Linked DNA regions of Arabidopsis thaliana. The protein of the gene in region 3 interacts with the protein of the main gene of each other region in a pairwise test. Each region holds a gene or a part of one and is shown on either strand. Other genes may lie near its edges.

Region 1 (7,068 bases), on a different chromosome or scaffold from region 3:
GAAAGACTGACAGATATAATTTTTTTGGAATACACCATATTAAATAGAGCAATACATGAAAACATAGCGATTGTCAACCATGAAAAACGTCAGAAATTCGTTGGAAACAAGCTTTTGTTCCAAATTCATTAGTATCATGATTAGTCTGTTAACAGTTTTGCACTTTCCTTGGTGTAGCTCTCTCGCTGATAACCAAATTGTGGATTGCATCGATCATCTTGCCGAGATAAGCTCGGTCTCACATTGAGATAAGTGAATCCTTTACATGTGTTCCTCCGAATCCGTTTAGCTTTCTTTTTCATTCTAAATCGAATCGAGTAACAAAATGAGAGGTGTCAAAATTTCGATCCAAGGTTCTTCCGCATATATCATTACAACAATCTAACTTGAATACCATAGTTTAAGCAATTAAAGTCAAATACATGTGGTGCTTTATATTATCGGTTATATTTTCTTCTTGCACTAAATTTTCAAATCGTCGATTAGAGCTGAAGACATAATGATAAGGCCAATGCTTCGAATCAAATAATGCGAGTGAATTGTTTGCACGTATCTACGATTCGCTTCCATTTCATGGACTATTTTTTTGTGTGTCTAACATTAATTTACGAATTACATCGCGAAACAAATTGCTACAAACAAAGTAAATGGCTTTAACTATAGATTCTTATTTTGACAAAAAAAAAAAAAAAACTATAGTGTATTAAATAAAAAAAACGAGGGACCACACGCAAAACACCGATTCTAACTTTGAAAGAATAGTAAATGCCAACCAATGGCCAGTTGTAGTGGACGAACTCTGTCTTAATTACATCGTGAATATTTAATTGCATGCGAGTGTGGTTTATAGTATTATTGATATTTTCTTTGTTTATTTAGTTAATTATTATGGGTTTGTTAACAAGTCTAATTCAACTACTTCTTTTCAAGCTTTATTCCTCTTGGAAAAAAAAACTGCCCAAAAGATAAAATAGAAATTGACTTGTAAAATAACATAAAATAGACATTGACTTGTAATGAGATGAAAATAGAGTTAAAAATCATGATTTTCACAATTAAAATATGAAAAGATACAGGTAAAGTTAGGTTGTAGGGATTAACTCAATGTGGATCATGTAGGTCATGGTGTTATTTGTTAGGCTTTCATTCATAAATTTGTTTTTGAAAAAAAAAACAGTGAAATAAATGAAACTGATAGATGGAAGCTAAATTAAGTGAACTAACACAACTTATGTTACATTAAGTTTAGTTACACTGAATCGGTAGAACACATGATGTGTGTGGGACTGAAATGCTAATTTTCCGGAGATTTGGTTTGGTAAAGTTAAATACGAGAAGAAAAGAAATTAGAGTTGGAGAAACAAAAACAAGAACAAAAGAGAAAAAGCCGAACAACGTGCCGTTTTTGGGGTCCATTGGAAGACAAAAAACAACAACGTGTTCTCCGCCTACAACACAAAAACATGTGTTTGTAATTCACGTGTTGTTTTTACGTTCTTTCTTTGACCATTGTCTTCTTCCTCTTTTCACAAACTCAATCTTTTGTTTTATTTTTCTTATCCTTTTATCGGCTTATCCATGTCGGTAATCATTATCACCGCACATATTTGTTTTTGCTTGTTTCTTATATGTACATAAAATGTATATGTTCAATTTAATTTGCACATCATTTCACTCTTGTTAATATGTAATTCATCGAAAATTATGGTTCTTAATCCATGTCAACATTGTCACAATTAACAACATTGTTAGGATATATATGTCAACCACAGCCAAAATTCTAAGTGGTTTGTATTGGTCTCAATGTCTAACCAGACTGAATGTGAAAAACACGAAAATGAATAGATTTAACGAGATTTTAACTAGTAGACAAAATAAAAACATATCTTACGTTTGCATGAAAACAGATTGAGAATTTGAGATCCAAGACCAAAACTAATTAAACTACACATGTGAACAAATAATATATTTTGGGCTATTCGGGTTTGTGTCCGGCCCAATGGTTTATGTTAGCCTGTCAAACTTGAGGACTTTGTTTGTTTTTCTCCTTTTTCCTAAGAAAACTCTCTTTATGGTTGAACTTGTTTTCTCGATCAACTTCTCTTGTACCTTCGTTCCACTTTAAAACAATATTGGCCGTGTGACTCTTTGACCAGGATCACTTGTCATGTCGATTTCTTTCACGTTGCATCTCAATATGAACTTCATGTATGTTGGAGTTGTGAATTGAAATTCATCAAAACAAGGAATCTTTGATTCAGATTGAGTCAATCTCTTCCAAGCACTGTGTTGGTATTGTACTGTAGAGAAATTTGCAGGATCTTGAAACATATGACAAGATATATAACGAACCGATTATTAGATTAATTTCGGCCAATGCTCGAATCATACAAGTAATCATAAGCCACAATGAGTTTAGCTTTGTTCACTAAGTTAGAAAGAATAAATAAATGAATGGATCAAGTTAAACAAAAGAACTAAATCATATAAAACCTCCAAATTTCTAACGTTTATCATATATCTAAAATCTTCTAAGATGCCTCTCTTTTCTATATGAACTGGCGTAAAGGGATCAACATCACACTGATATCATCAGACGAGCCTCGTGAAGCAGATAAATCGACAAGCTTCTTACAGGCAGCTAACAACAATGGCTTCTCGGTTCCTAAGCAGAGAGGACGAGCAATGTCTACTGCTTCTTGGTTACTCACTTTATCCCATAAACCATCAGATGCCAAGATCAAAAACTCATGGTCATGCTCGATTCTCGAAATCTTTGTCTCTGGTTCAGCTATAACCCATTTCTTAAGTTGAGCATCTCCAATTCCTCTTGACACAGCTAAAGATCCCTGGATTCTCCAAACACCGTGAAACGTATCAACATATCCTCCCGTGGTTTCAATTCTTTTCCGTTCATCGTCTCTAGACGGGCGGTGATCAGAAGATAAAGCCTTAGCTACACCTCCTACACTCATAACAGCACGACAGTCACCGGCGTTAGACACAACAAGGTTCCCTTCGTTAACCAGAGCCGTGACACAGCATGAACCACCCTTAACGTCTTCCTCCTTAAGAAACGACGCGTCTGTTGCCAAGTAACCATGTTTCACCGCTTCAGCTATCTCAGACTCGTCTCTCTTACCAACTACTTCTTCTACAATGTTCTTATCTAAGTTCTTAGCTGCAAACTCAGCCGCTTTAACTCCTCCATGACCATCATAGACTCCGAAAATCGCCTGAGAAATTATCACAAAGCAAAACAACGTTTAGAATACACGATTCATCAATAAGCACACAATTGTTTCATATGATTCTGTAAAACTTCTAATTCTATTCAGAATTTCAATTTTCCCCAAAGAACCCTAATTTTAGATAGCTTATTAACCCAATCAATGTAGATCTCACATGATAAACCCTAATTTGAGCTGTAATTGCTAATCAATCGAATCAAAATCACCAATTCAATTCAATTCTAAACCAAAACTGAAAAATGAATTTGAAATTTAAAATTACCTGTTTACGATCTCCATGAAGATTGGTGATAGCAGAGAAACGATCCTCCATAGCTTCTCTTCTTCCTCTCTTACAATAAACAGAATAACCATCACCTTCTCTCTCAACCTCTCTACACTCCTCTCTCGGCGTCGCAGCCACAGCGGCCGATGAAGAAATCGGAGCTACAAATCCAGCAACACCAATCGGTATATCAAGCCTTGTAGGTCGTTTCCTCTTTAAAACACCTCCCGGAGGAGAGGATGCAGAAACAGATTCAGATCCAAAAGATAATGGACCAGGAGCGAATCCGGACGGAGGTTTCTGGAAACGGAGACGAAATGGAGATTTAGGAGAAGAAACGGTGGTGGATGGAGAGGAAGGAGAAGAGGTCTGAGGTTTGCGATGAGAAAGCGTTAGAGAAAGAGATTCTTGCGGTGACGAGAGAATCGAAGATTTGTTGCAGAATAGAGAAGACGACGGTGAAAACACCGGAGAATTACATACGGCGACGGAGCAAGACATCGTTTCTATATTTTGATTTCGATTTCGATGAGTAGAGATTTGTTTTTGCTGAGATTATTGTTTTTGTTTCTTCTCCTTCTGTTTTTTTTTTGTTGTGACGATGTACAGAGAGAGAAGAAGAAGGTTTTTAAATATAAAGGAAAGAAGAAGGTAATGAATATTGAATGAATTAGAGTCCGTGTTTATCGAGCTTTATTCAAAGTTTTTCAGTCTCTTTGACTTTGTAAATAACATTTATGCCCTTACAACTTTCATTTCCTTTATTTATGTTGTCCTTTTACTTTCTACAAAATGGATATTATTTTGAGGAAAACAAAATTAGCTTGAATCCTACTCTTGTTGACCAGTTTTTTTTTGTTGGCAAAATAAAGGAAAATATCATTTTTTCTTAATAATGAAAAATGTATATATCCATGAGATTTTTTATTCCAATATTTTTTCATAACCAAAATAAGAATCATTCAATTTTTGGTAACTTTATGTCAATTTAATAATAAAAACAAATTATGTCTAGTAGACTAGAACTATCATAAACAAAAAGAGGAGTATTGCAAATAAGAAGAAAGGCCCTTTGTAACGTAGAATAAAATTCAATAAAACACAGCAGATAGTACAAAAGAGAATGTTGGAGGGTAAAACGGTCATTCACAGTCTAAAATAGCTAAAACGATGAAGTAAGCGATTTATTGGGTTTGCTCTGTGAGGTTAAAACAGACATTTCAAATGAAGTCAAAAACACGTCTAAAAGGAAACGAATGCTAATAATTGGGCATGTGGGTAACGTATCTGTGTTAAAGAAGTGTTTCATTGATGACTCACTTTTTTTTTCTTCTCCTTTTTAAATTAAATGAAAAATAGAATCTTAAAGAATTTAAAACGACCGTTAGGTTCTATACGTCGTCGTTTTCATTGGATGAGTATTTTTGCTTGTCGTAGTCGCAGCTTCTAAGCAAGTGACCGTTGAGAGCCTGAAGAGGAGCCTTCGTTTTGTTTGTTTCCATTTGATGACCGTTGTGAATTTGTCAAAAAGTCTAATACATAAAGTTGTAATTGATCTCGTTTCACACGAGGTCTTCTTATTATTAAAATACAAGTCTTCTTCTTATTAAGAGAGTGTTAATTTTTTGAGTAATTTGTGACATCATTAACTGATAGTTTTGTCTTTTAAACGGTATTTGATATTCTAGAGTTGAAAAGGAATTGCAATGTTCTAGAGTTGAAGAAAAATCCATTAGAAAGTTTTTGTTAATGTTGTGAATTGTGATAGGGATGAATAGTAAACAAAGAAAAATCAGTTTTTGCAATATTATAAGACCAAAATTTCCTTATTAATAAGTATTTGCATATGATAAGACCAAAAATTTTACGTCTTATTATATTGTCATGCGATTAATGTTCCACTATTAAGCACTTTTAGAGAATGTTTTTCCGTTTGAGGCAGTTTATAGGAAATAGACACTTTTTCTATTAATTCTTTTTTTTTAAAGACTTTTTTACCCTCAATTCAATATTTATGTTTTTAATTCTTAATTTCTCTTTTTTGTTATTCCTCTTCCACGATCCTTACCCAAAATAAATAAAATCTCTCTCTCTCTCTCTCCATGATTTGTAGCGCCTCTCTCTCTCTCTCTCCACGTCTCCATAACTTTTGGAGAAGTTTCTTAAACAATTTGATCTCGATTATCTCAGGAATTTGGTAAAAGTTCTATGTCCATAAGGTATTGGAGGTGGGGTCTCTGCAAATTGTAAGAAAAATCAACAAACAATTTTTTGGTGTCCATAATAACGAGTCCATTTAAATATATCCATTCAGAAAACCTTTTACTGATTCATATTCATTCTATATACCATGTCCATATAACAGGAGATTCGATTAACCGTGGTTTGTAAAGAAACCAAAGTTCCATGTCCATAAGGTCTTGGAAGTGGAGGTCTCTTCAAACTGAAAGAAAAATCAACAAACAATGTTTTGGTGTCCATAATAACGAATCCATTTAAATATATCCATTCAAAAACCTTTCTACTTATCTATATTCATTCTATATACCATGTCAATAATAACAGGAGATTCGATTAACCGTGTTTTGTAAAGAAACCAAAGTTCCATGTCCATAAGGTTTTGAAGGTAGAGGTCTCTGCAAACCGAAAGAAAAATCAACAAACAATGGTTTGGTGTCCATAATAACGAGTCCATTTAAATATATCCATTCGGAAACCTTTTTACTGTTCTATATCCATTTTGTATATCATGTCCATAATAACAGGAAATTCGATTAACCGGAATCTCGATGCTACATAGATGAAACGAGTTTGACACATGAGAGAGAGCAAAAATCAAATCAAGCCGCCATTGTTGAAGAAGAAGATGTTTCTTAGATAATTGAATCTCAAATTTATATCAAAACAAATATTTAAATTGCAAAATAAATTACAATCTTAAAGAAACCAAGACCTCATATTCTCTAATTAGTCCAGAGAAAAAAGAAAGCCATCGCGTAGAGTGGATTTGGAGATTAATTGCAGATTTGGAATTGAAGATATTCTGGGAAATGTTTTTTTCTTCGATAAAGTGAGAAAAAAAAAAAATAGAGAAGAGATGGGAAAAGGAGAGAGAAGAAATGACCGATGGAAAAAATGTAGTTAAAGGGTAAATAAGTAAAATAATTTATCTAAAGTGACTTCTCCATTTAAAGTGCCTAATTAGGAACAAACTTTTAAAAAAGTGTCTAATCACGTAATATTCTCTACTACTAATTCATACCAAAAAAAAATGTTTGCTTTTTATCCTAGTACATAAGTTATTTAAATATTTTCGAATTATCTGATTAAATGACCTCAAAAACCGAAAAGAAAGAAAAAAAACTAATTTAGAAATATAGTGTAATTTTTCTCTTTCACCACTAAAACAAAATCTTATTTGTTCACTGTACACTTAAATACTTTTTGCGTCTTCTCTTTAAGAATACATTTTTAAAAAAGTATTGAAATGTGATTTTCATTTTTGTAGAGAATAATCATAGGCATATATATATCTCTATATACATAAACTCC
Region 2 (6,760 bases), on a different chromosome or scaffold from region 3:
CTACAAAATTTAAATGTTTTTTCTGATTGAATGTGAGAATTTGCAAACACCAGATTCCTTCTTCATCGGGAACGTCAAAAAGTCACCGGAAGAGACGAGAGAGCGACGGCGAAGTAGAGAGAACATTCTAAACCGGTTTAGTGTTTTAAATAAAATACCGTGAATTATCGGTTTAGCTGAGAGCGACTATTGCTGAAACCGGTCTAGTCTTACCAAATTTCTACCTATTTTTCCTTTGGTCAACAAACGTTATATCGACAGTCAAATTGCGGTTGGATGTATTTAATACCAAATTATTGAAACCGTTATGTATGATTTGATAACGCATTAAACCGTTTTGTAAGAACAAAATTGAACGTTTGTGAGAATTTTCTTTATCCATTTAATAACATTGAATAATAGTTTTTATTTGTAATTCTAATGCGTACTTTTCTTTGGATGCAATTTGACAATTCTAGTCGAATTAGCTCTACCTGTTTTTACTTTGGAACTTCCAAATTTCACACATCACGATTGATCCAACACTATGTTGAGAATCCACAATCATTAACTTCTTACTAAAGAAGAGAAATTGGTACTGGAAAACAAACGAGACACTTTACGTAGACGAAAACATACACATGGTCATCACCATCCGTAAACTAAACAAGAACTTAAGTACGCACAGGAAACTACACAAGATATAACTACATGGAAAGATTTAAACCGGATTAATATTACATCCGTGTGGGGAAGTTTGATTTAGGTCTTGGTCCTGAATTTGGATTCGTCTATCTCGACTCCTTCCTCCTCAGCGTGTTCCCCACCAGGCTTGTCTCCGGTGCTAAGACCACCTTTGCGTCCCATCTGCTGATATCCTTCAGTTCCTAACTGCTCCTTTCGAGTTTGCCCTCCTCGGCTCCTCCCTTCATATAATAAATATTCCACAAACATTAATCTCGTTACTCTAGCCTAAAGACCTAACTTGAAACATACGCAACCATGAATAAGAGAAAGAATGACCTTCAGCGAGATGCTGTTGAGCTTCGAAGCTTTTGCCTCCCGTACCACCTGGCACGACGGTCTCGCCCTTCTTTGCCCTCTCATCCAGCTGCTTCTTCTCTTGTTGAGACGCCATGGCTCTTTAGTTACTTACACAACACAAGTTTATATAAAACACTAGACAAGTAAAAACCAAACAAACTCGCAACGACTTGATGATGATATACGAAGAAGACTATAGTAGCTCGCTCTATATATAGCGAGTTCAATCCGGAGGGCGTTTTGGTTGTGTTGCATCGTGGATGTTCGACGTGGTGACTCAGGGACAATCGGTACGTCATACGTATGCTCTTCTTTCTTGGTGACATGCCACGTGTCTGACTTTATTAGCTGACGTATACTTTGAACGTGGTAGTGGCCGTACTTCTTCGCCGCGTGTTCTTTAACTATACCGCCGCAATTATTTTGTGTGTTGCCTTTGTATTCATAAAATCTTTCAATCATTTGACTATACTGTATGAAAGTAAATATGAATACCTGAGGAAGAAATCCCGGATGGATTCATGATTGGAAATGTTGGTAATCGTCATTGAATTTGTGCCTTACGGTTAGGTGTATAAATTGCTGGTCAAAATTCGTTGACGTTAGGTGGTCCATATATCAAGTTCAGTTCCGATCAAATTGATTGAATACGTGGCATCGACTTTAAGCAGATTCATATGCAAATATTCATTTTAGAAATCAAATTACAATTTGAAAGCGTACATTAAGTCTTATTGTTGAAAAAATAAATATAACAAACTTTTTTTACTCTCAACTTTGAAAAGATTCAAATGCTATATCTCTGAATTTTAGCTCCTAATTCTATTATTTTGGACTCTTTAAAAAAAAAAAAAAAATTTGAGGATCGCTGCCCCTGGTTTTGACTATCACACTTATTTTGTGTAGCATTCCATATTGCTTGAATGTGTCTGCAATATTTGAGTTATCAACGTTATATATCCTTGTTGCTTCTTTTGATTCGTTTTGTGAATGAATTTATGTTGTCCTCAACGGTTCTCTCTCAATACTACGTGACTACGTCAATGTTATAGCTAAATGTGTGTAATTTTTTTTAATGTTTTTTTAATATTTTTATTTGTATTGTAAACACAAAAATTTGAACTACAATCTACGAGCATGACAAATTGGCTTGCCAAGTCAAAAAAGGGCGACACGAGAGTGATTCTTACGAGGCAAGTTATTTGTGTTCCTAAGACGAATTAGGGTCAATAGTTCCCCAACTCCAATCATCTATACATCATTATTACATACACACTTCACACTTGCGTATGGTTACATCAATTTTAAACAGCGTACGATTCTTTAAATCAAAGATTTAGTTGTTCTTCTTTCCTTAAATGAATTCACTAAATTTTGCCAGGTCTTCAGATTTTTTTTTGACTTTTTCTAATTATGACGTTTGAAAACGATGCGGGAGTGAATTAACAACCTTCATATACTAACTATAAATAATAATTTATTTCAATACCTAATTCCTCCTCTAAATAGATAGATTTTCTGAAAGGCATATGTTTCAAGTCTAATTCCTTATTCGAATCTATTGACTCGGATTCACCAATATAGTACCATCCCATCAAAAGTTTGAACCATTAGTTTACTTAATTATTCATATTAAACTTTTGAATAGTTATCCATAGACTAACATTGACTAACTTATATAAGGTTTGATGGTTTCTACTTCGAGATTAAATTAGTAATGAATGCAAGAATCTAAATGATACGATTCTAATTTTTTTGATACGTGCATAAGATTCTAATAAATTTGATACATGCATTTTCCATAGTTGATCAAATTAGGTATGAAGACCAGAAATAACTAGTTCCCTTATTAATTCTTAGTACTTATCCTTTTTTCGTCTAAATTCTTAGTATTATGCAATTTTTTCTAGCGTGTAAAATTAACTTCTTTTTTTTCTTTGTTGAGAAGGTATAAACTAAACTTGATAATGATAAATATATAACTTCACATATAGTTCCATTTCAAAGAAAACTAAAGAATGCCCTAATACAGTTGTATTCAATGGACGGCGCATAATATAGATCACTTATTCTAAGGTAAAAGATTTCACGTGATCACCGAGTCCAACCTTCTATTCAAATCTCTCGTTATGGCAATTTAATAACCACTAGAAAAAACAAATTATAGAGAAAGGTAATTTGGGCACCGACGTGAATTTGACTAAATTACGAGAGAGAAAGAAAGAGAGACTTGGTCACGAAGGTGTTAATTAGCATGAAAGAGAGAGAAATAATCGTCGTTGACCATTGACCATAACTTAGTCAGTCATATATATAAAAATCCAACCGCCCACTATTGTTCCCCTATTCACAAGGTCCTTGCTTTCTCAGACGTAAACAACAAGAAATTATATTAACACAACAACAACAACAAAAAGACCAACCCTATTTATTCATATTTTCTCTTATATGCAACTCTCAAAGAATCCGATCAAACAAACGAGAAATCGAGAGAAGAATTACACCGACGATTTCACCATGAAGAGATCTGTAATCATGGCTCCTGAATCTCCGGTTTTTTTCCCACCTCCGCTTGTTTTCTCTCCGACGTCGGTCAAAACGCCGTTGTCTTCTCCTCGTTCGTCGCCACCGAAGCTGACGATGGTTGCTTGTCCTCCAAGAAAGCCAAAGGAGACGAAGACTACGGGTTCTGATTCTGAAACGGTGTTGAAAAGGAAACGACCACCGATGCTTGACTTAACGGCGGCTCCGACGGTTGCATCGTGGTGCAGTACGACGAGAGAGACGGCGGAGAAAGGAGCGGAAGTTGTTGAAGCAGAAGAAGATGGATACTACTCTGTTTATTGCAAGAGAGGAAGACGCGGACCAATGGAAGATAGGTATTTCGCGGCCGTTGATCGTAACGACGACGGAGGTTACAAAAATGCTTTCTTTGGGGTATTTGATGGTCACGGCGGATCCAAGGCGGCGGAATTCGCTGCGATGAATCTAGGGAACAATATCGAGGCGGCAATGGCATCGGCGAGATCAGGAGAAGATGGTTGTTCGATGGAGAGTGCGATAAGAGAAGGTTATATCAAAACGGATGAGGATTTCTTGAAAGAAGGTTCGAGAGGTGGCGCGTGTTGTGTAACCGCTTTGATATCGAAAGGCGAGCTTGCGGTTTCGAATGCAGGCGACTGCCGGGCTGTTATGAGTCGTGGTGGAACCGCGGAAGCTCTCACTTCCGATCATAATCCTTCTCAAGCAAATGAGCTCAAAAGGATTGAAGCATTGGTGAGTTTTATCCTTGTGCATTGGATTTTGATTAGTAACATCACATAATTGTGGAATTGCATTTCAAAAAAAAAAAATCATTGAATTCGTGGAAAAAGCGACTCTAGTAAAAATGCGGTTGATAAAATTTTTGCAAATTGGAGAATCATTCTACCATTTTGCGTTCAAAATAATGTTTTAGTGCGGTTTGGTTTAATTTGTGTTTGGTTTACTTATTTTTGAATGTGTGTAGGGTGGTTATGTTGACTGCTGCAACGGCGTTTGGAGAATTCAAGGGACATTAGCAGTCTCACGAGGAATTGGAGACCGGTACCTCAAGGAGTGGGTGATAGCTGAACCGGAAACCAGAACATTACGGATTAAACCGGAGTTCGAATTCTTGATCTTAGCATCTGATGGCCTGTGGGACAAGGTAAGCATAACAAGAAATGCATGATTTCAAAAATTTGATTTTCATTTTTGGTCTTTGGATTTAATGTTGAAGCTGGTTTGTCCTATAGGTAACGAACCAAGAGGCCGTCGATGTCGTTCGACCGTACTGCGTAGGCGTAGAGAATCCAATGACACTTTCTGCTTGCAAGAAACTGGCTGAGCTATCGGTTAAGAGAGGCTCTTTGGATGATATAAGTCTAATTATAATTCAGCTACAAAACTTTCTTCCATGATATATTAACACATAGTACATTAGCTAAACTTAATTAATTTCATTAGGTCGTAGTTATTAATAAATTTTGTTCGGTATTTTACATGTAAATACATAAAGGTTTGGAAAATAATTAATTTATTGTTATTGTTCTTAGAGATAAGCTCCAAAATATTTTTGGTTTACGATATAAACACTACATAATACATGAAATTGCACTATCTAACCATTTATCATCCTTTTTATCCTCAACTTTTTTATTCTCATGCATTTTGAAAACCACATTCTAATCATATTTCTGCTTTTATGTGTAAAACCAACAAAGATGTACATGGTTGATATACACACGTAGACATAACCTTGACAAGCAACATCTTCGTCGTTACTCATTTTACAGATTTCTACCCATCTGCCTTCAATAAAACAAACATCAACCATATTAGTAACTGCATGGTAACCAAGCATACGTGAGTTTTTGTTGTAAGGACCGGTAAACACTTTGAACCTATAAACACCTCCGCCTCTTCCAACAACTCAGAATAATGAACAAGATCACATGCTAAGGTTTTGTAATGCTTCTTACAAACAAAAGTTTATTTAAAAAGGGAAGGGAGAGTTTATAAAATATAAATTAGCATTGACATTGGTGTGAGGTTCTTCACATAATCATATCATTCTGACCAAAATATTAGTCGGAAAATGGTTAGAAACACACCAATATGAGTTGTTTTCTTGTAGTTCTGAGAAAACATAGATGAACCAATATATCAACGTAAGTAACTAAGATAAATTGTGAATCATGAGAATGCAAGAAATATTTTCTCATGATTACATGAGATGAAATACTACCTTACAATTCATCAAACTTTTTGTAGAAAAAGGTATTGAAGAAATGAAAATTGGATGTAGACAAAAAAATAAAAAATTCTTGCTGCAAGATCCTGGACAAAGACAATAATCACATTAAGAACAATGTAAATTTTTTAAAATTAGTAAAAACTCTCTATAAATTAATAATTCACACCATTTAAATTTTAGAGGAGGTGATGAAAGGACATTATCATCAATTTTGGTAGTTAACCCCCAATTATTTAACTAATCAAGATACAAGGGGTACAACTGTAATATATTCATAGTTTGGTGTGTTTTCTACAATATTCAGAAACACGATTTAAGACGATTGAAACTAAAAATAAAAAGTGTCGGACTTGTAAATTTTCGCTCAGCGATCTGCTTCCAATGGCGATCTACTTCATTCTCTATACACTTCTCACGATCATCTTCGCCGTATCTCTGAGTTTATTTCTTTCCGTGATCAATGCAAGAAAGAGCAGAAAACGTGCGGTAGGATTCTTCCATCCGTACACGAACGACGGTGGCGGCGGCGAGAGAGTGCTCTGGTGCGCCGTTAAAGCCATTCAAGAGGAAAATCCCGATCTTGACTGTGTCATCTTCACCGGAGATCATGACTCTTCTTCTGATAGCTTAGCTCGTCGCGCCGTTGATCGATTCGGTGTTCACCTTCAGTCTCCTCCTAAGGTCCCATTACTCCTAAAGTTTAAATTTTTATCAATTTGAATTGGTTCTAATAACACAGAACCTCTCAGATTTGAGGGCAAGTTTCAATTTTGCAATTTGGGTTAGTTTTGATGCAAGTTTTGTGCTTTTGTTGGTTGTTGTTGTGTGGCTTTAGGTGATTCATCTAAACAAAAGGAAATGGATTGAAGAGAGTACTTACCCACATTTTACAATGATAGGTCAGAGTCTTGGTTCGGTTTACTTAGCGTGGGAAGCATTACGCATGTTCACTCCTTTGTA
Region 3 (8,524 bases):
TTTATTATAACCAATTCAACCAATAAAAAAATAGATGATTAAATATAATTGGTTAAAAAATATTAAATACATTTATTATTTGCATAGAAAGTTGAAAACAACACTTAAATTGAAAAAAAAAAAAACCGTTAAACTACATTTATATAGAAACAGAGGGAGTAGTAATTTGAAAAGAATAATAATAATAAATGTTAAAGTATTTCTTTGAGTTGAGAATTTAGGTCGATTTTTACGAACATATGCTCAAATGTGACGTATAAATAAATGCGTATCAATATTGATGCTTTGTTCAATTACCAAAAAAAAAAAAAAGATGTTTTGTTCGATTCGATAAATGTTGGGGGCAAAACAGAGAGATGAGCAAAACATGGGATCCCGATAAATAAATAAAGACAACTCTTGTCCTTGTATAAATAGACTTGCATCTTCAAGATATATATGTACAAGTCTCTTTACACCTAACAAGACACAGTACTAAATCATTTGCAGCTTCTTACAATGTCGCGACCAATCTCGCTTGAAGGTGAAAACATAACTTATGTTGTGTCTGATGATCTCTTAGTATCATTATGAGTTCCAAGTTTTAATAATTTTCTCATTCTTGACAGAAATGGTGAGACTGTTCAAAGTACGTCACGCAACAGCTCACATGTTCAAGATAGACCATTTCTCTTTACTCAGAAAGCATGGAATCGAAAAGGTCGAGTCCTCTGTTTTCGATCTCGCTGGTCACAAATGGTGAAGTTGTTTATAATCTTGTTATTATGCTTATTGACATACAAAAGAAAACAAAGATGGTGATCATCCTCTTAACGACTTGATTGGTAACAGGAAACTCTCTGTGCACCCAAATGGCCATACAAATGCTAAGGGGACACATTATGTCTCCCTCTACTTAATGAATCAAGCTCCGGTATATGATACGCTTACATATGAGCTTCTTGCCGTCAGTCAACTTGAGCCAAAATGGCACACTCACGGTCTCTCTCACTCTCTCTCTCTCTCTCTCTTGCTTCATTCAATCACGCATACATCTGTGTGTATATAGGTTTGATACGGCGTCCATATATGTTGATGTGCAGGAAGAGATGAATACGAAACCAATGAAGAACTGGGTAGTGAGGGGTTTCGTGAGTTCATATCTCTTGTTGATCTTAAGAAAAATGGTTTCCTTATTGGAGATTGTTGTATGTTTGGTGTCAAGTTCCATGGGATTGAACCTGCTAAACCCGGAACAGCGGAAAGTTTTAGCTTAATAGAGAAGCCTCTTAATCACAGAGTCACTTGGATGATGACCATGTTCTCGTCCTTCAACCCTGGAAACGTTCATCAGTCTAATGAATTTGTCGTTGGAACCCGGAAATGGTTGATATTATATTCCTCCTTTTTCCCAAAAACATAACACAACTTATATATAATACTAATAAAAATGCATCACAATATATTTGATCAGGAGAATTAAAGTTCATCCAAGAGGGTCTATGGGTGAAAAAGACAAATCATTTTCTGTGTATCTATCGGCACTAGGGTTTGTCAATAATGCACCAAAGACTAAAACTTACGCGAGGTTCAAGCTGCGTGTATTGGATCAAGTTAGCAGGAATCATGTTGAGAAAACAAGTATGTGTTTATTATGTTTTGGAAAGTCTTGTGATGCATGATGGTTAAATACAGTACTAATCTTTTTCTCCTGGTACGTATAGTTTCGGGTTGGCTTGGTGCAGAACCTGATGACCGCCATGGCTTTGCGGATTTCATGCCTCTAGGGGAACTTGATGACCCTTATTTGGTGAAGGATAAGCTTTATGTGGGAGTTGACTTTGATGTCATTTCCGTCTCTAATTACTGTTAGCTATATAATCAGCAAGAAATATTTATAACGTATGAATAAAATGCTGGAGAATATATATAGTACTATTATGTAACTAAGCTACTGATGCCGTAATGACTTGTGATGTGTGTCGACGTACGTGTTGCTGGAGATGAAGATGATGTGCTTGGCGTGTATTTTCAGTTTATGGGCATAACAAGACAATCTACAAGATTTCATAAGCCCAGTTTATCAACTATAGAGACTTGGTTCTCAATCGTTATTGTTTCTTGTTAGTTTTGTTTTGCAAATAAGATCTTGTTTTTTTTTCAAGGAATCGTGAGCATTCCATTGCTTTTACTACCTATATATATGAGAAAAACGCCAAAAGAAAAGACATAATTTGTTTGCCAAAAGAAACTTGTGTTCCACGTTGGGGATTCTTTGATCTTCGAACACAATCACAACCTCAACGACGTCACTCAAGTCTCCGGCGCTTTGGAATACGAGTTCTGCGACTCTTCTTCTCCTAAAGCCGTCTACAACCCTGGACACGATATCGTAACCCTCACGGAACCAGGTTTTCACTAGTTCATCAGCTCAAACCATGCTCAATGCGCATCGGGACAGAAGCTCGACATTCTTGTCGTTCATGACTCGTCACGTCCCATTCCTCCAACACCACCGAGCAAGATCCTTCCTCCTTGAAATATCTACAGAGTTGGTGTGGCTCCAAGGGATGGAGTGTTCCGCAAGAAAGTTACTTTTATTACAGATGGAGTGAGAAGACGCAGTTTCCGATCGGAGACAGTCTTCTTTTCGAATACGACAACGAAGTCAACGACGTCTTAGAGATCAGCGGGGACCTTGAATTCATATCCTGCTACCCGATTTCTCCCGTAGCCGTGCACATGACAGGCCACGATCTCGTCACGCTCACAGAACCAGGAGTCCATTATTTCATTAGCTCTAAGACTCCAGGTCACTGTTACGCTGGGCTTAAGCTACGAGTCGTGGTCGGACCACTCACCAAAGCCGTACCTGTCCCCAATGTTCCGACGAAGAAGATAGAGTTGTCACTTATGGACCGCTTCAACAGATGGTTACGCACCTTCGGACCTCAACCCCATCATTAAGATAATTAGTGGATGTAATTAGAGTTAAGACTTCTCTGTATTTTCTTTCGACTAAAAAGTAAGGAAATTTAAATACACTCTATTGCAAAACACAGCTCAAAGGTTGTTCTTTTCTTTTTTTCCAATTTTTTAGGATGTTATTCAAATTACAGACATATTATCAAACTTATCAGAGATTTGATAACAAAAGCAGAGCAAAACAAAACATAGCATTTTGATGAGTTTCCTTTTAAGGATATATATCTCTCTCTCTTTCTCTCACACTGAGTCTTGAGGATTGAACTTGACTGTTTCACGGTATATAAGCTCCTTAATGTTCTCTTCTGTCAAAGTAGGTTGCTCGAAATCAAAATTGAACGGCCTCACACATACCGGTTCTTCGTTGATATCATGCAGCGGCGCCAAATATGGGTGGCACAACGCCTCATCAACTACACACACAAAAAACATGTTCAGAAAATAGCCGAAGAAACAGAGAAGCAGTTATATAAAATATAACTCACCTGTGATGCGTCTGCTTGGATCAAAAACAAGCATTTTCTCCAGCAAATCGACTGCACCAGCCGACATGTTTGGGAATCTAGCAGCAAAGTTCTGTCTAGGGTACTGTGGAAGCTGTCTAACGTATCTTCTTGCATTGTCACTTCTTAAGAATCCCAAGCTTGAGTCATCAGGAGATCCTATAAGCTGCTTTCCAAAGATTCATTAATACCGTGAAGAGAGACTAAGTGGTGATTCTTTGGATGAAACATACTAAACTAGATTACCTCAGTGATGAGTCTAAGCTGATGAACATAATCTTTACCGGGAAACAAGGGCTCTCGTGTCATTGTTTCACCGAGTATACAACCGACAGACCAAATATCAATTGCTGCTGTGTATTCAGAGCAATTAAGTAGCAGCTCTGGAGCTCGATACCAACGTGTAACAACATATTCAGTCATAAAGTCAGTCTCGGATTTGGTCCTCGCAAGCCCGAAATCCCCAAGCTTTAGATCACAATTTGCATTCAGGAGCAAATTGCTAGGTTTCAAATCTCGATGCAATACATTAGCTGAATGAACATATTTGAGCCCACGCAACAACTGATACAGAAAAAACTGCAAAACATAATCGAAACTAATTACTAAACACAACTTCAAAGCATAACAAACGAAATCCTTATTAGCTCTCACTTATAAAGTATCAAGCAATACTCATCAGATGCTCTAACACAATAACAGCTGCTTCTAAAGTAGAAACAGAAGATTCAGCTGCTAGATATAAGCAAGATGGAGATTGATGCATACCCGACAATGATCATCAGTTAAGGGTTGGTTAGAGCGAATAATTTGGTGGAGATCAGTGTCCATAAGCTCATAAACAATGTAAACATCATTGAAGTTCTCTCTCTGCGGTGGTTTTATTATATCCTTTACAGCAATCACCTGCACAATAAACCAATATAAGATTCACACAAAAAAAACCAGAGATGCTGATGATTAGTAACACGTACATTTTCATGATCCATATGCTTGAGAAGCTTAATCTCTCTCAAAGTCCTTTTAGCATCGATAATATTGTCAAAAGCATTACCAATCTTCTTGATAGCTACCTCCTCTCCAGTCTCTGAGTTTGTAGCAGCACTGATCAACAATTATCAACACAAGTTATTATAATAACAACAGATTCCAAAACCCTAATTCCCAAATCTAAGAACCCCAGAAGTGAACATTACATGTTTCAAAAACCCAATCTGATTAATTTTGGAACTCACCAGACAATTCCATAAGCGCCTCTACCGATAGGACGAAGAGGAGGAACATACTTTCTAGAAACTTCGAAGAGATTGCCATAGACATTATACTGAACATAGCTACCACCATGAGTAGCCACTCCTTTGCTGCTGCTTTGATCACCCGAGCTTCCGAAACAACTCTCCGCCGACATCGGAGCAAAATTCCTCACAACAACGAAAACGAAGAACCCTAGAGAAATTGAGGAATCGAGAAGATGGGTGTTGACATTTCGTTATAAAGTCTCTACCTTTACCCTTTTTTTTTTATTGAACGGTAAAGAGGAAGTCTCCTCTCGAGTCACCCGTGACCCTTAAACCGGGTTTGCGTCTTCTTCTTTGGTTTTTGTTCTTTTTCTTTGTAATGTCAATTTTCAATTTTGTTTATGGTATCGAGTTGGGTATATCCGATGATTGTGTCTCTAAGTAATTGAGGAACGGGTAAGTGTTTTTAGTCAATTGGTTAAGTTTTGTTTACTGGAGTTTGCTTCTACTAAATCGCGTTATCCCACGAAGTAGAGATTAGATATGGTTATGACTTTTGCCGAAAAAATGTAATTGATGAAGTTTGTAGAATGGAACAAGTTAATGACTTCATGTAGGAATGTTCTTGATATCATATTATAAAGTTTAAAAGAATCTAGATGACAACTTTTCTCCAATAAGAATTTAAGTACGACTTGGTATATTGGTGGTGTACAAGTCAATGGGCGGCCAAATTGTTTTTGACCATAAAACTGACCTTTGATTCCAAAACCATTAGTGAAAAAAGGTTTATGTATAAGATAAAATGACATCATTTTGATTTTTTTTAAAAAATCATGGTTAAACAACTTATATAACCATGTTGAAGTTTGGTGCATTTGTTATTATTAATAGCTAGAATATCTGGTTTGCTTTGATTGATTGATCATGTAACCATGAAAATAACACTGATTTTTTTTGGTCTAGTGATTTACAATGGGCCTCAAGCAAACCCATCACTTATCCATTATCAACTAAGATGAACTAAAGCACAATTCTGACTAACTTGAAAATGTAGTTATAGCTTAGCACCGATTGAAAAGAGAGAGTTATCAATATTTGAAGCGTTTTAAAGTCTCATTTTTATCTGCATTTGTTATTACTTAACATCAACGATACCATAATTACATGTTTCCTCTATATTCACAAACAAGTCTTAGCTCTTTTCCTCTATATTAACACTTTTAACCATCGTTGGCAATGTCACTCCTAGCTCTTCTGCGCATTTCGTCCACAGGCTCTCCAACAATGCGTCTCGGGCAGAGATCACCATCTTCGACAAGCAACGTGTTTCCTTGGAGACTAGCTCAAACCTTTCCGAAAGTTCTATCACTGACTTCTCCAATGGTTCCACTAACAAAATAGGAACCGACCCTTCTTGTACCGCTGTGTAAAGCTTCTTCACACCGGTTTCAACAGCCTCGAGATCTTTTATAACCGTGAATCCGTCTGATAAAAATGTGTTTTTGATCTCCGGGTTAATAGTGTTCTGCAGTTCCATGAAAGCTTGAACCCATGGAAGCTCCTCCATCTCCTTTGGAATGGTTAGATAGAAGAGATTCTTGGAAGAACCCGAGAACGATGCATCAAACACGCTGAATATGTATAAAGTCTTGACCTTTACACCGTATAAAACTCGTAAGAGAACTTTTCCTTCCGCAGAGTATTTCTTCTTCCCCTTCTTGGAGATATGATGATGATGATCCATCGATTCAACCAGCCTACTCAAAACCGCGCCCCAGTTTTCGATACTCGGGTTCTTGGAAACCATGTGCTGATTCCAACGCTGAAGAATATTGCCACTGTTTGTCTCCAGCTTACTAAAAGCAAACTTTAGTAATAGATTGCCATGTTCCAAATGATATATCTCTGAGGTAAAGGCGTTGCAGAGTTCCCGCTTCAAGCTAAAGTCAGAGAAGATATAAATGAAATTCTCCTCCAAATCCGATACTGGAACCTCTAAATCCTTCACGAGCGTCCTGATACTCTTGTGTGTCTCACAAAGAGACTGCATGGCTTGTATCATCCAAGAAACACTAACGATATCATTCTTATCCTTTGGTACAAGTTCTCTAATCGATACCGTCAAGTTAGTCTCGAAATTGTTCAACAGTGAGAGAAGCTTTGGCGATAATCGAGCATTGTTCTTCTTCGTAAACAGAATCTTGAACGGGTTCCGAGAGCGTGTACGTTGTTGGCTCATATCAACTGAAAACACACAGAAAGAAGAAACAAAGTTAGTAATCTGAAACAATGAGCAAACCAATAACATTGTTCTGAATCCAAAATCCGAATCAATAGATCTCAAGAATGCAAAGACAGAACAAAAACCATTACTTTAACCAAACTCGCCGAAGATTAACGAAAACTCACCTAAAGAAAGAGATTCTTCCGAAATGTTACCGCTTACTTCAATGTTACGCTACTTCAATGAAGGAGAGAAAAAAACCCAAAAGAAAGTATAAATAGGAGATGGGTTTAGTGTATGATAATAAAACTTGAAACGCGTTCTTATAGGGAGGAATCAAAGAAACGTGCCGTGTGCTGCAGATCAACGCAATCGCTACTTTAAGTCCCGCGTTGGTTTTGGTAGTTGTAAAGGATTTTTCCGTTTCACCTACGCGGCAGTGACGAAGAATAGAGACAAATACACACGTTTACGGTTCTGATGTCTCAGTTATAGTAGATTTTTCCACTCAATCGTTGACATTTGTCAGCATAACGCTCTATAAGAAAAAGTGGTAAATATAGCCGCCGGATATTTATCAATCCAAGGGCTATAAACTTCTGGTTTCGTCTTTAAAACAATTCTTTATTTTGAGGGTATATTTGTCATTCTCACGTTGCTTTTCAAGCTTATATTACTGGGCCGCGTTGGGCTTTTATTGGGTCAAAGCGACAAGTGAGTTTGATATATTTCTTAGCGCTAAAGTAGATGAAATCTTTGGAAAGCCTTCGATGAATCTGAGAGGCAGCATATGATAGATTATATAAACAAATATAACTAATTTATATCATTGAATATATTTAAGATGTAATTTGATATTATTTATAAATTTTCTTCTTTAGTATAAAATTGAAAACAAGTATTTATACTATTAATTGGGAAGTATTTTGTGAACTACAACATTATAAGGGTAGTTTAAAATTAACTAAATGAAATTTTACATGGGTAATTTAGTAAATTAACTACTACTAAATGAATTTAGTTTCCATAAAAATCAGGCTATTGATTTCGAAATTGTATATATATAAATTTATTCAATTTTGGTAATATATTTTGAGATATTTCTGAAAAAGAAAAAATTAATTTAATATCATCATATATTTTAGATTTTAATATATTTCCTTAAGAAACTACACTAATAATTTTAAAACATTTAAAAAGATACCTTCAAGGCTTCAATCTCTTAGATAATTTTAAGGACAAAAGAAAATTTTCCAATAAAATGTAACTATTATGATATCTATGCTATTATATAATTCACTAACCCAAAAAAACCAATCTTAATTAAAACTTTTCGCAAACTTTTTACATTATTTTCCACACATCTTATTTTCAAATATTATGATAACTGATAAGTTTATGATATATATACTATTATATAATTCACTAACACAAAAAAAAAATATTAATACAAACTTTTATCAAAACCATATGATAATACTTACAACCCGCATAATGTGCGGTTCACAACATTAGCTATTGTGTCATAAATAACACTATACATTTTTTGTGTACATTATAATTTATATACTACAATATTTTTCACTAAAAAA

The links.
Region 1: the proteins of MPK4 (region 3) and AT2G30020 interact in binary tests that used the Arabidopsis thaliana proteins (3 or more experiments, as listed by UniProt).
Region 2: the proteins of MPK4 (region 3) and PP2C5 interact in a two-hybrid assay, tested with the Arabidopsis thaliana proteins (one study listed by BioGRID).

Annotation. Positions count from the first base shown.
Region 1 is NC_003071.7:12,811,386-12,818,453, reverse strand, and holds AT2G30020 (Protein phosphatase 2C family protein), read right to left. Parts: upstream 4,184-7,068; 5' UTR 4,018-4,183; coding exon 3,514-4,017; intron 3,237-3,513; coding exon 2,550-3,236; 3' UTR 2,094-2,549; downstream 1-2,093. UniProt on the Arabidopsis thaliana protein: Protein phosphatase that negatively regulates defense respones. Inactivates MPK4 and MPK6 MAP kinases involved in stress and defense signaling.
Region 2 is NC_003071.7:16,779,051-16,785,810, forward strand, and holds PP2C5 (phosphatase 2C5), read left to right. Parts: upstream 1-3,315; 5' UTR 3,316-3,471; coding exon 3,472-4,299; intron 4,300-4,531; coding exon 4,532-4,711; intron 4,712-4,799; coding exon 4,800-4,964; 3' UTR 4,965-5,097; downstream 5,098-6,760. Other genes in the region: TBL30 (trichome birefringence-like protein (DUF828)), read left to right, coding at 54-117; GEA6 (Stress induced protein), read right to left, coding at 742-905, 1,003-1,117; LEW3 (UDP-Glycosyltransferase superfamily protein), read left to right, coding at 6,182-6,481, 6,636-6,760.
Region 3 is NC_003075.7:563,570-572,093, reverse strand, and holds MPK4 (MAP kinase 4), read right to left. Parts: upstream 5,178-8,524; 5' UTR 4,876-5,177; coding exon 4,703-4,875; intron 4,572-4,702; coding exon 4,442-4,571; intron 4,374-4,441; coding exon 4,236-4,373; intron 4,047-4,235; coding exon 3,714-4,046; intron 3,634-3,713; coding exon 3,450-3,633; intron 3,378-3,449; coding exon 3,205-3,377; 3' UTR 2,947-3,204; coding exon of another isoform or gene 2,530-2,946; 3' UTR 2,372-2,529; coding exon of another isoform or gene 2,228-2,371; 3' UTR 2,090-2,227; coding exon of another isoform or gene 2,018-2,089; 3' UTR 1,853-2,017; downstream 1-1,852. Other genes in the region: AT4G01390 (TRAF-like family protein), read left to right, coding at 499-523, 609-738, 832-980, 1,083-1,365, 1,454-1,620, 1,704-1,852; AT4G01380 (plastocyanin-like domain-containing protein), read left to right, coding at 2,018-2,089, 2,228-2,371, 2,530-2,946; BPS3 (BPS1-like protein), read right to left, coding at 5,901-6,947. UniProt on the Arabidopsis thaliana protein: The ANPs-MKK6-MPK4 module is involved in the regulation of plant cytokinesis during meiosis and mitosis. Essential to promote the progression of cytokinesis and for cellularization (formation of the cell plate) during male-specific meiosis.